2 linked regions of the Drosophila melanogaster genome follow. The protein of the gene in region 2 purifies or fractionates together with the protein of the main gene of each other region. This does not show direct contact. Each region holds a gene or a part of one and is shown on either strand. Other genes may lie near its edges.

Region 1 (5,393 bases), on a different chromosome or scaffold from region 2:
ACGTGCAATACGATACGACAAGGAGCGAAAGTTAAGATATTGAGGGATGAACATCGTCGCAGAGATTTCGGTGTGGGGAAGAACGTTCAAAAGAAGAAAAAATTCGCTTTAGAAAATATTTAAGTTCGTTTTCTACTAGCACCTACTTTCAGCTACGGATGCTAAACAAATTGTTTGTACAATCAAGGGTAGGTTGGCTTCGGGAACCGAAGTTTCAAATACTTTTGCAGCCTGATAAGAAAAAATTGTACTAGCACAGACATGGATATAGATATTGTTAATAGACTTATGTAATCATGTAATCGGACAGCTAAAATATGACAATTGCTTTGCAAGAGTATAGTAAATAGCAAAAGAATTAATAAGTTATGAGTAATCAGACAGCGACTAGTGCCACCAAATACTCACTCTTCGATCAGTGCCACATCCGCACTATTTGGTTGGCTTGTGCTGGTGTCCTTGATCAGCGTCACAGCCGTTCCAATGCCTCGGGCTACCACACCCACGTCGCCCTCCAAATCGAAGCACTGGGTATAGCCGATGACTGCATTAGCACCCATATTAATAGCCTTTAGGCCCATTCTCCTCTGCACCTGACCCGACAACTTGAGAAACACCACCTGGCGAGCCTCGTTGGAAGCACGCGGTGTGCGTATTTTGTCGATCCACTGATACTCCGGATCGTCATTCACCACCAATTCCTCGACAAAGCCATGAATCACTTGGGCGCGGTAGCCAAATGGCACACACTGAGCTGTTGGAGATAAAAGGATAATTAATAGACCATTTCTTTAGAGAATATTTGTCTGCTTATACAGTGAAAGAAGGGGATGCCGCAGGAGCTCTGACGGAACTTGTTGACGTCCGAGAACAGGTCAACCTTCACAATCACATTGATCTCGCCGCGAATACCGTGCATAGTGTCGAAAACAGGAATCCAGCCGGATAACACGGTACCCTTGCCGTGCACCGCTTGACTAGAGCTCTCCAGGCACAGAGGATTCAAACTGATGTTGACCTTTCCAATCGCATCGTTCGCAGAGTACGTGTCGTAGTCCATCAGGCGGATTTGCAGGGGCTCATCCTGGAGCTCAGCGTCGTCCACCTCAAAACGGAACCTATCAGAAAGCAAATGTTACAATATATGGAGCTATTGAATGGTCAGACCTCACCAATCGGTATTCCAGGTGGGATTCAAACTCTTGCGGAAGACATCCGTCTTGTGGGTCACCGAGGCCAGTTTGATCTCCACGAAGGCGTCCGTGGTTTCGCTGCTTTTGTCCATCACGGGCAGGTTGCGCGCCGCCTTAATCTTCACCCCCACCTTGCCCGGCATCCTGTCGCACTCGCCTGTCGTCCCTTTTCACCAGATACCAGATTGTGACCACCGAATTTCGACCAAAGGGTTCACGTTTTATCTTGTGTTTTCCATTTTTCCCAGTGCCAAGTGTGGCCGTGGTCCGTGAATTGCAAATTACCTACAGATTAGTTACTTGTGCTGGGACTGCTCAATGTTTTAATTTGCTTTTTTGAATGAGAGTGGAGCAGTTTCTTAAATCATTAAGCAATAATCATCTTAAGTGTTTCCATCAATTCTAAACTAACTACTAGCGATCACCATTCCAACTAAAATTTGCTTAAACTCATTCCCTCCGGAGTTTGAATATATCTTTAATGCATGTTTATGGACTAGACTCTATTTGTTTGAACTATAAATTAATTCATTACGTATTAACCTGTTTTGTATATTAACTCTTGGAAAATTATAATAACAAGTTTTCATAGCTATATTGTCGCTGAAGGATGACAACACTGGCGCAAAAGAGCGACGAGTGGGCAGCGCTGCAACAAAAATCAATAGTCGCCGCCATATTTTTTCACTGAATGAAGACCAACGCGCTTCGCACACCGAATAATGTTAAGTTAAATAAGTTATTTAAGATAAGCTACTGTTGAAAGTGCGCCGAGTGACCAAGTGACCAGTAAGCATCAATAGAAACGATTAGTCGCTAGCAATAGTTCCTCGAATCGTCAATCTGCGGCATCCTAACGCTGCTTCTTCTTCTTCCTCCGGCTTCAGCAGTCTTAAAATCCGCGTCCGAGTGCGAAGAATACCAGTGCAAGTGGTAGTGCGTGTGATCTAGTGTACGAGAACAGCGAGAGAGGAGCATGGAAGGAGGCTCAGTGTCCTCGCCATCGATGGGCGGTCCACGTGGAGGCGGTTTCCGTGGACGGGGCGGTGGAGCGCCTATGCGCGGTGGCTTCGATCGCGGACGTGGTCGTGGCGGTCGTGGACACTTTATGGGTGGCATGCGCGGAGGCGGCGGCAGCGGAATGGGCGGAGGACCGCCCATGCAGGGCATGATGTCGGGTCCTCCGAGGGGAATGCGTGGATCCCGTGGTGGAATGGGCTATCAGGGACGCGGCGGCGGTTATCAGCCGCGTGGTGGCGCTCCCATGGGCATGCGGGGCGGTCGCCCACCTTTGTACTCGCAGCGTAAGTTTCCGCAGACAACCCTCGACTTCCTGCCATACCTTGTAAATCCAATCCAATCCAATTTAGCTCCCAAACAACACACAGGTGCCGAGAACAACAAGACCGTATCACCAGTGCCCACCTCGGCGATCAGTGGAGAACAGCCAGCGGTTGAAGCAGCCGGTGATGAGGTCACCGATGGCCAGACATCAGCGGTCGTCCCGTCTTCGGGCAACTCGCATGGCGGCAGTTCCGCTCCTGGGGGCAGCAACGGAGGAGGACCTCCTCCATATCTGGGCCGTGGACGTGGACGTGGTGGTCCCTTCAGTGGACGTGGACGTGGTGGCGGCGGCTACAATTCGCACATGAACGGCAGTGGAGGCGGCAGCATGTACGGTGGCTCCCACAGCCACCACGGCAATTCCATGGGCGGCGGTCCGGGCAGCGAGCACGGTTCGATGCCCAGGCGCGGAGGTCCTCGGGGCAGGGGCGGCTACAATCAAGGTATGAGTCGGCCACCCTTGCATCACCATCAGGCACATAATCCCAATACACAACTTGCACCGGTACCAGCTCTCAAACGCGGCGCTCCCGGTGGTCCTGGTCCCAAACGCGGTCGCTACGAGGGCGGTCCATATGGCCAACGGCCCATGACGCCCAAGTACCATTCAACACAGCAGCATATGGGTGGTGGAGGAGGCGGCGGCATGTCTTCGCAGTCCTCTTATGGCTCGCCGCCAAGTCACCATGCGCCACAACAAAGGTAAGGCATCGAATTTTCAAATATTATATAATCAAATCAATATAGTGCACACTTTCTAAATCTGCAAAAATAATTGGTACATTTTTTGACGCTGTTCTTTATCAGCCATCACAGCTATCAGACACACGAGCAGACCCAACAAGTGGACCCCTACGCGCAGAGCGGTTACAGCACCCAGACCACCCAGCAGGGATACAATGGCTATGGCCAGAGCGGTAGCAGCAGCTATGCGGCTCACACATCGCAGACAAGTGCTCCGGCGAGCAGCAGCTACGGAGCCCACCACAGCACCGAATACGATCAGAGCCAGTATCAGAACTACAAGTGGGTTACCTAATCTTGACGTCTCTCTCTCTACGTTTCTTGCCTTCAATTGGGCCACGCAAGTGCTAATGTATTGCTTTGTGCTTCCAAACAGCTCGACGGGCTATGCCGCACCGCAGGATACACGGTATCAGTCGTACAGCCAGGACTACAGCCAACAGTATGGCTCGACTGCAGTGGACTACAATGCTACCGGACAAGCGGACTACAGCCAGCACGGAGCGCAAAGCACTGGCTACGATGAGCGTGCCTACGCGGGTTATGGTAGGTTATTTCAGTTCCCTCCAGTTGCATCATCCGTCATCGGTGTCTTCTTTCAGATTCGCAGGCGTACTCGCAGAACTATTCAAATGCAGCCGCCTACTACTAAACAACCACTTCCCACTCCCACCCCTGACGGCACACTAGAGAACAGAACGCTGCGCGTGCTTCGATAGGCCAAAAAACCAAATAAGAAGGGACTAGGGCAGAGTAACATGGAAGGGAATATATGTTTAATGCAACAATTAACTTGCTATACATAACACGCAAACACACACATACGCGGTCACTCAAAGCATACAATTTTAGTTTTAAGTATAAAGTTCTCTTTTTCTTAGCATTTAAGCAAACTAGTGTTTCGACGTCTTTCTACATAAACCCCCACCCCAAATTAACATCCCCCTTTGTTTCCGTTTCGTCTCCCCATGAGTACTGAACAGATATATTGAAATAATCCGCCTTGCCTGTTGTTTAATGTTCTCTAAATAGACAAACGGAGCTAGACTGCACTGAGCTCCAGCCTAAGAAAATTAAATGTGCTCCTCCTTAGTTCCATTTACAATTACAAGTCAACTGTGACCAAAGTATGCTACAATCATATTTTTTATATGACGGAAAAATGAGAGTACGTAACATGATCTTTTGAATGAACTAAATTTAAACATTTTGTGAATCATGTAAAATTGTATACAAATGAATGCAATGTATATTTTAGTTTTTAAGCTGAAAACCGCAATCCACTCTCGACACAATTATTTTCTATCCCACATGCATCTGAAAGCGTTTATGATTTTGCAAGATTGTGTTTTTTTCTTTATGAATGACAAAAACGTGACAAAAGCGTGACTTATTACTTTTTTGTTTTACAAAAACCTCTTATAGTGACAATTTAAGCAAAAAAAAAAGTTCGTAATAATGTAACTCCTTAAATTTAAGCTGAAAAAAAAAACAAGTAACGAAATACACAAAGTATATTAGAAAAAGATGCAAAAACCATAACCATAATCAAAGTCAATAAAATAATGTTCAAAAATGTGTTTAATGCATTAAACTTATTTAAGCGTACATATTATTATTTAAAATATTTTGTTTAAAAGAAATCAATCAGTAAAACTGCAAATTATTAAGCAAAACAATCAATCAAAAGACGAATAATGAGTGAAAAATGTGAAAAAAAAACGTAAGACTGAATATATTCACGAACCGAAGCTGCACTGCAAGCATACAAGTCAAGAAAAATGAGAGACAAATGAATGAAATAACAGAGTTTTAAGTATTTACGAAACGATTACAACAAATACATAGAACAATTAATCGCCAAGCGATTATCAAAGTGCCAAGTATACCTGATCAACAAAACTCAGGATAAAAACTAAACGAAAATGCAATATACCGAATGCGTTATGAAAATTCAAGGACATCAGTCAATCAAATTTTTAAGATAGTGTCGCGAAAATATATTATCGAGAATTTTTACCATGATTGAGCTTACACGTACCATAACAATTCAATTAGATAAATATCTAAAATTACAAACTGAAAGCACTGAAAGTACAAAATGAAAATATA
Region 2 (4,813 bases):
CATATGAGGATTGTTCAAAAGCAGTTGGGCTAAATATTTATTAACATTTTTCCCCAGCACTGCGCTATTGCGAAACTATTTTTCGGGCCATAATAAGTTTGCATATTTATGCATGTTATACAATTGCCAAATGTGCAGCGCAGCAAGTTAATGAATAAAATTCCATTCCACTTTCGGTGGGGTGCATCATTTCGGCCGGGTAGCATTTCAAGAAGCCCCACAAACTGGCAAATGGGTGGGGAAATTATTTCATTTTATGTTAATGATACGAACTAGACGGCTGAAATTGCATTCCTTGCGAAGGTGGTGGATGTACTTAATCGAGTTTATATTGTGCGGAAGGTAGCTTGAAAGTCAAGACAAATACTATGGAACGCAGGCAATTTAGTGAAAGCTGTTTATCAAGCCATCAAATGCAATAAAATTGTTTTTAGTTAAGCGACTATTCTCTGTCGGTTCTCTGTTTGAATTTCTTAAAGGCAAGTTATTACAATATTATAAATGATGGCGAATATTAATACGAAAACTTAATTTCAAGCTCTCATATAACATTTTTTCGTTCTAGCTTAGAACTTGAATGCTTAAAAATATATATAGTATCTGAAAGATATTTTCTTTAAATTCCTGACGCGAGTTAATTCGCCTGGCAGTGCCTGCTCCACATCTCGTTCCTCGTTGTGTCACGTGCAAATTGAGTTGTGCCGAAGCTTGGCGGTATTGGTGTTTGGGTGTTTGGGTGTGGGGATGGGTTGTGCGCGGAGTGGTGCGGCGGTGCAGGTGTGGATGAAATGAAACGTGCTGTGGGGCCCAATGAAGCCATGCAAGGAGTCCATGGACAGGCATACGCGGCTGAGTATTAAGCGTATATGAATGGGAGTAGGGGCACTTATGCCTCGCATTTTCACCCACATCCCAAAAAAAAAAACGCACCACCCACTTCCCGTGAGTGTGTTGAGATTTACGAGTTTGTCATTTGCCTTGCCTGCTTTCAAAGTCACGCACGTTACTGTTAACGAGTGTGTGGAGGGGGGGAGGACGGGGGCAGGGGTTATATCCTGGGTGTTGTTTATTTTTCTCTAGGTCAAAGCCTTAATTTGCCTGCGTGTCCTTTTGCCAACTTTTATTTTGGGCTGATGTGTTTTATGAATGAATCGTGGGCGGCGGAAAATTGTAAACAAAATATGGCAGCTATATATAGATTCATTGGGGGTAAGACGGTAATAAACTTGCAGGCGGCCGACAAATTGCATCCAACAGATACAGATACTGGCACGGAGATACATTCGCTGAACTTGAACTTCTTTCGCGGCCTGCGCCTCAATTTGTTTGGTTTTATTATTTATCTTTCTTTAAATTCTCTTTATTGCCATGTATCTGTATCTGTAGCTGTATCTTGTAGGAGCACAAGTATCTCCTTCTGTGTTCTTAGCTTTTCGCTTTCTGTTGTGCTTCTCGTTCCCATGTACTCTCCTTGTTTTATTTTCTGTTTTCGGCGCTTCTGTTCTGAGCGCGCCAAAAAGTATCTTGAAGATGTACGCACGTTACTGTTAGTTACGAGTATCTGTATCTTTGTATCTCTGTGTGTCGCTTTCTGGCACGTTTTCAGGGCCTCGGCTCAACTCTTCACAACCAGAAGAAGTTCAGAGCCCGCTGCTTTTTAATTTAAGTTGGCGCTAAGACAAACGCAAAATGTATCTATCAGAAACAGTTCTTCTTTTAAAAGTCATTACTCATTGCCATAAGTGTTTGCGGTCCAAAAAGAGAAGCCTCTGCCTTTACTGTAATATTATTATTTTATTTTGTTTATTTGTCTTGCACAAATAAAGCTCGCTGAAATTGCCTGCTTAGGTGATTGTGATTTTGTTTTTTGGGTCTTCTTTGAGCTTGCACTTATTGTAATTTGATCCTCGGATGACCAATAACAATTGTTATCTCTTTGTTTACATGTTTACGCTTGGAAAGTATTTCCTGTGCCCCAAATGCAAATTTCAATTGGAAATTTGTTTTTCTTTGGCTTTCGGTCGAGAGGTGAGTTTAATTGAGGGATTAGGAACAAAAGCGTAGAGTTTTATATTTGATTGGAGCTCAACATTTTTATACATTTGCTCAATTGGCTTTATTAATTGGAGTCGGTTTTATGAAAGGGATATGGCCATTCTGTTTGGTTTCTTGGAAACGTTCCTTACGATTCGTTTTCAAAGAGTTAGTTATGTTCTGTATGCGGCTATTTGTCTTTTTGTTTGATGGCTATGCTTAATTAATGAAAAAAAAAAACCATTTATTTAATTTTCTTTGGTACCACAAATAAAATGATTATATACGCAGAATAGTTATATATAGATAAAAGGTATACATAAAGCATCCCGATTTATATATACTTAAATATATGTATATTGTTAAATCCCTACTACAAACCTTAGTTGTTAATCCATGTCCTTTCACGAGTTTTTTTCCTCGGAAAATGTTGAGTACTTAGAAGCTATTGGAAATCCAAGCCAGTTTCACTATCCATTTGCCGACCGTCGTTGGACCGTTAGAAAAGCCGCGAAAAACCGCACGAAAACGAAAGTTGACAATAACAAACCGCGACGCGAAAACGGAACGAAGGGAACAAAAGAAGGAAATCGCGGAAATTGCAGGGAAACCCAGAGAACCGAGCGCGAAACTGGAGCTGCAAATTAAACCGGGACTTGGATGAAAAGCTGAAGAACTTGGAGCTGCAAGTGCGGCATCTGCGGGAGTTCTTGATTTTGTTTTGCTCTTGGATATTCTAATTCACTGGTCACATTGGTCACATTATTTGGGGCTGCCTGTTTTCGAAACTGGAACAAGTTAGTCGCGAGTCCTTGAACTCGATCACACCCACACCGAAGGGATAGTATATTCCCGAAAATCAGAATCAGAATCAGTTAGTTAGCTAGTAAGTCTCACACGCACTCGCACTCGTTTCTAGCGCTCGAACGGCGGCGGCGGTGCAAAAGTCCGTGTTTTGTAGGAAACTTTTCACCCGAAGGATACACAACAACTGAACTAACTGAACTGAAAATGAAAATGAAAATGAAGGAGCAAACATAAAATGTATCGAACAAGTTCGTGCTCGAAGCGAACAGGTTCATGTTCGCATCGAACCAATGCGGGCTCCACTCGAACTTAAGAATACAACAAGCATGACGACCGAATTCTCTTAACTAGCGGTTTTATATTGTATAATTCATTCAATACTTAAGCATTTTTAAGAAATGATTTTTAATTTATTTTTGTGCTTATTAGTCATTCGTAAAATATATTATTTTTCAGTTTGACCATCATTAAAAGATGAAGAGCAAGATTCTTTCGTTTTGAAATTTGTATTTATTTTTATGTTCCCTAAAAAGTTTTGTAAATTCTTAAATATTTAACTTCGAACTGCTGCTTGTTGCTGTTGCGCCTGCAACTTTTGGCTCGAGAGTCCTGGCACACACACACAAACACACAGCCGCACGCACACAGTTACATTTACGGCTGCATCCTCTCTCTTTCATTAACACACAAGCACACACACACACACACACAGCTGCAACAAGACACGGATACGAACATGCGGCGTTTGAAGTGCGCTTTTGTTGTTGTTGCTGCTGCTGCGCCGCTGTACAGTTGTTGTTCCAATTAAAAATTTTTTTCCCTAGTTTCGCGCTCACAATGCGAACTTGCAATCTATGTGCGCTACGAGATATTTTCTGCTGCCTTTGTTTTGATACCCTAACCAAGGAGCTTACTTAGCTTACTTAGCAATTAAGCACATTGAATTCAAGCATGCATTATATGGTAATTGGCGTATAGTTTATTGATTTATTTACAATTTTATCAGAATAGATAAGCTCGCAAAATGTGTTTCGAAATTCAGGGCATTCGCAGTTCGACCAGCCGAATAAGTTTTACTTTCCCGCTGCTGTTGCTGCGGTGCCGTGGACGTTGCTGCGGTGCTGTTGCTGCCACTGCTGCGCTGGACGCAGGACACGGAGGCAGGACCTTGTGGGCATGTGCCATATATCCTGGCATTGCACTGGCTGCCGTTGCGGGATTTTGGTACAATTTGCCTGCCATGTTTTGCCCCTTTTTTACTTTTGCGCAAAGAGCGGGGGCGGTTGATTTCATTTCACTTTTTTCTCGTGGCGGTCCTGTTGCAACCTCGTTTCATGCCAACTATTAGTGGAGCTGCCATTTTTTCGCCATTTCATAGAGAGCAATCCACGGCGGAAAATGGAAACCTTGACAGTTGCATTGTTGCCTGGCGCTGACAGAGAAAATAACAAAACAAAGCGAGTACGCGGAACGCTGCTGTCTATTTGCATTGCGTAATGGAAAATCATTCAACCTAGGGGCACAACCCTTAACCGACTTCGAATCCTCCGGAACCGAATCTCAATCTGAATCCGAATCCTCCGAACACTGACCTGTCCCATACGCAACGCATACCCATAAAATCCCTCGAGGAACCTCGAAGAAACATCTGCACAAACAACAAAATGCAGCCGGCCTTTTCTCCTCTTAGATAGTTCTTAAGTTCACGATCCGCAGACAAGTTCTTCATAGTTGGGTTTTCTGCACTCGAAGCTGCTGCAAGTCTCTCTTCGTTCTTCTGCATTCCGCTCTTTGCGTTTTTTTCTACTTTTTTCGCTCTTATTTGGCTTTTGCGTGTCCTTTGTGAGGACAGCAAAGGACATTCACACTGCAAGCAGCCACAATAAAAAGACGTGCGGCAAAGGAAACCAGAAATGTATCTGACAGTTGGTGCTGCAGAAGTATTTGAAAAATGAATGAAATGTGCGCACAG

What was found.
Region 1: the proteins of Tet (region 2) and CG5746 purify together in Drosophila melanogaster (affinity purification with mass spectrometry, with the first as the bait; one large-scale study listed by BioGRID). This does not show direct contact.

The regions. Positions count from the first base shown.
Region 1 is NT_033777.3:24,345,251-24,350,643, reverse strand, and holds CG5746 (uncharacterized protein), read left to right. Parts: upstream 1-1,852; 5' UTR 1,853-1,982; exon of another isoform or gene 1,983-2,080; 5' UTR 2,081-2,169; coding exon 2,170-2,497; intron 2,498-2,563; coding exon 2,564-3,239; intron 3,240-3,344; coding exon 3,345-3,563; intron 3,564-3,657; coding exon 3,658-3,827; intron 3,828-3,883; coding exon 3,884-3,933; 3' UTR 3,934-4,852; downstream 4,853-5,393. Other genes in the region: CG6454 (uncharacterized protein), read right to left, coding at 409-754, 817-1,118, 1,173-1,336.
Region 2 is NT_037436.4:2,876,118-2,880,930, forward strand, and holds the start of Tet (Ten-Eleven translocation (TET) family protein), read right to left. Parts: upstream 3,042-4,813; 5' UTR 2,416-3,041; intron 1-2,415. UniProt on the Drosophila melanogaster protein: Dioxygenase that specifically demethylates DNA methylated on the 6th position of adenine (N(6)-methyladenosine) DNA.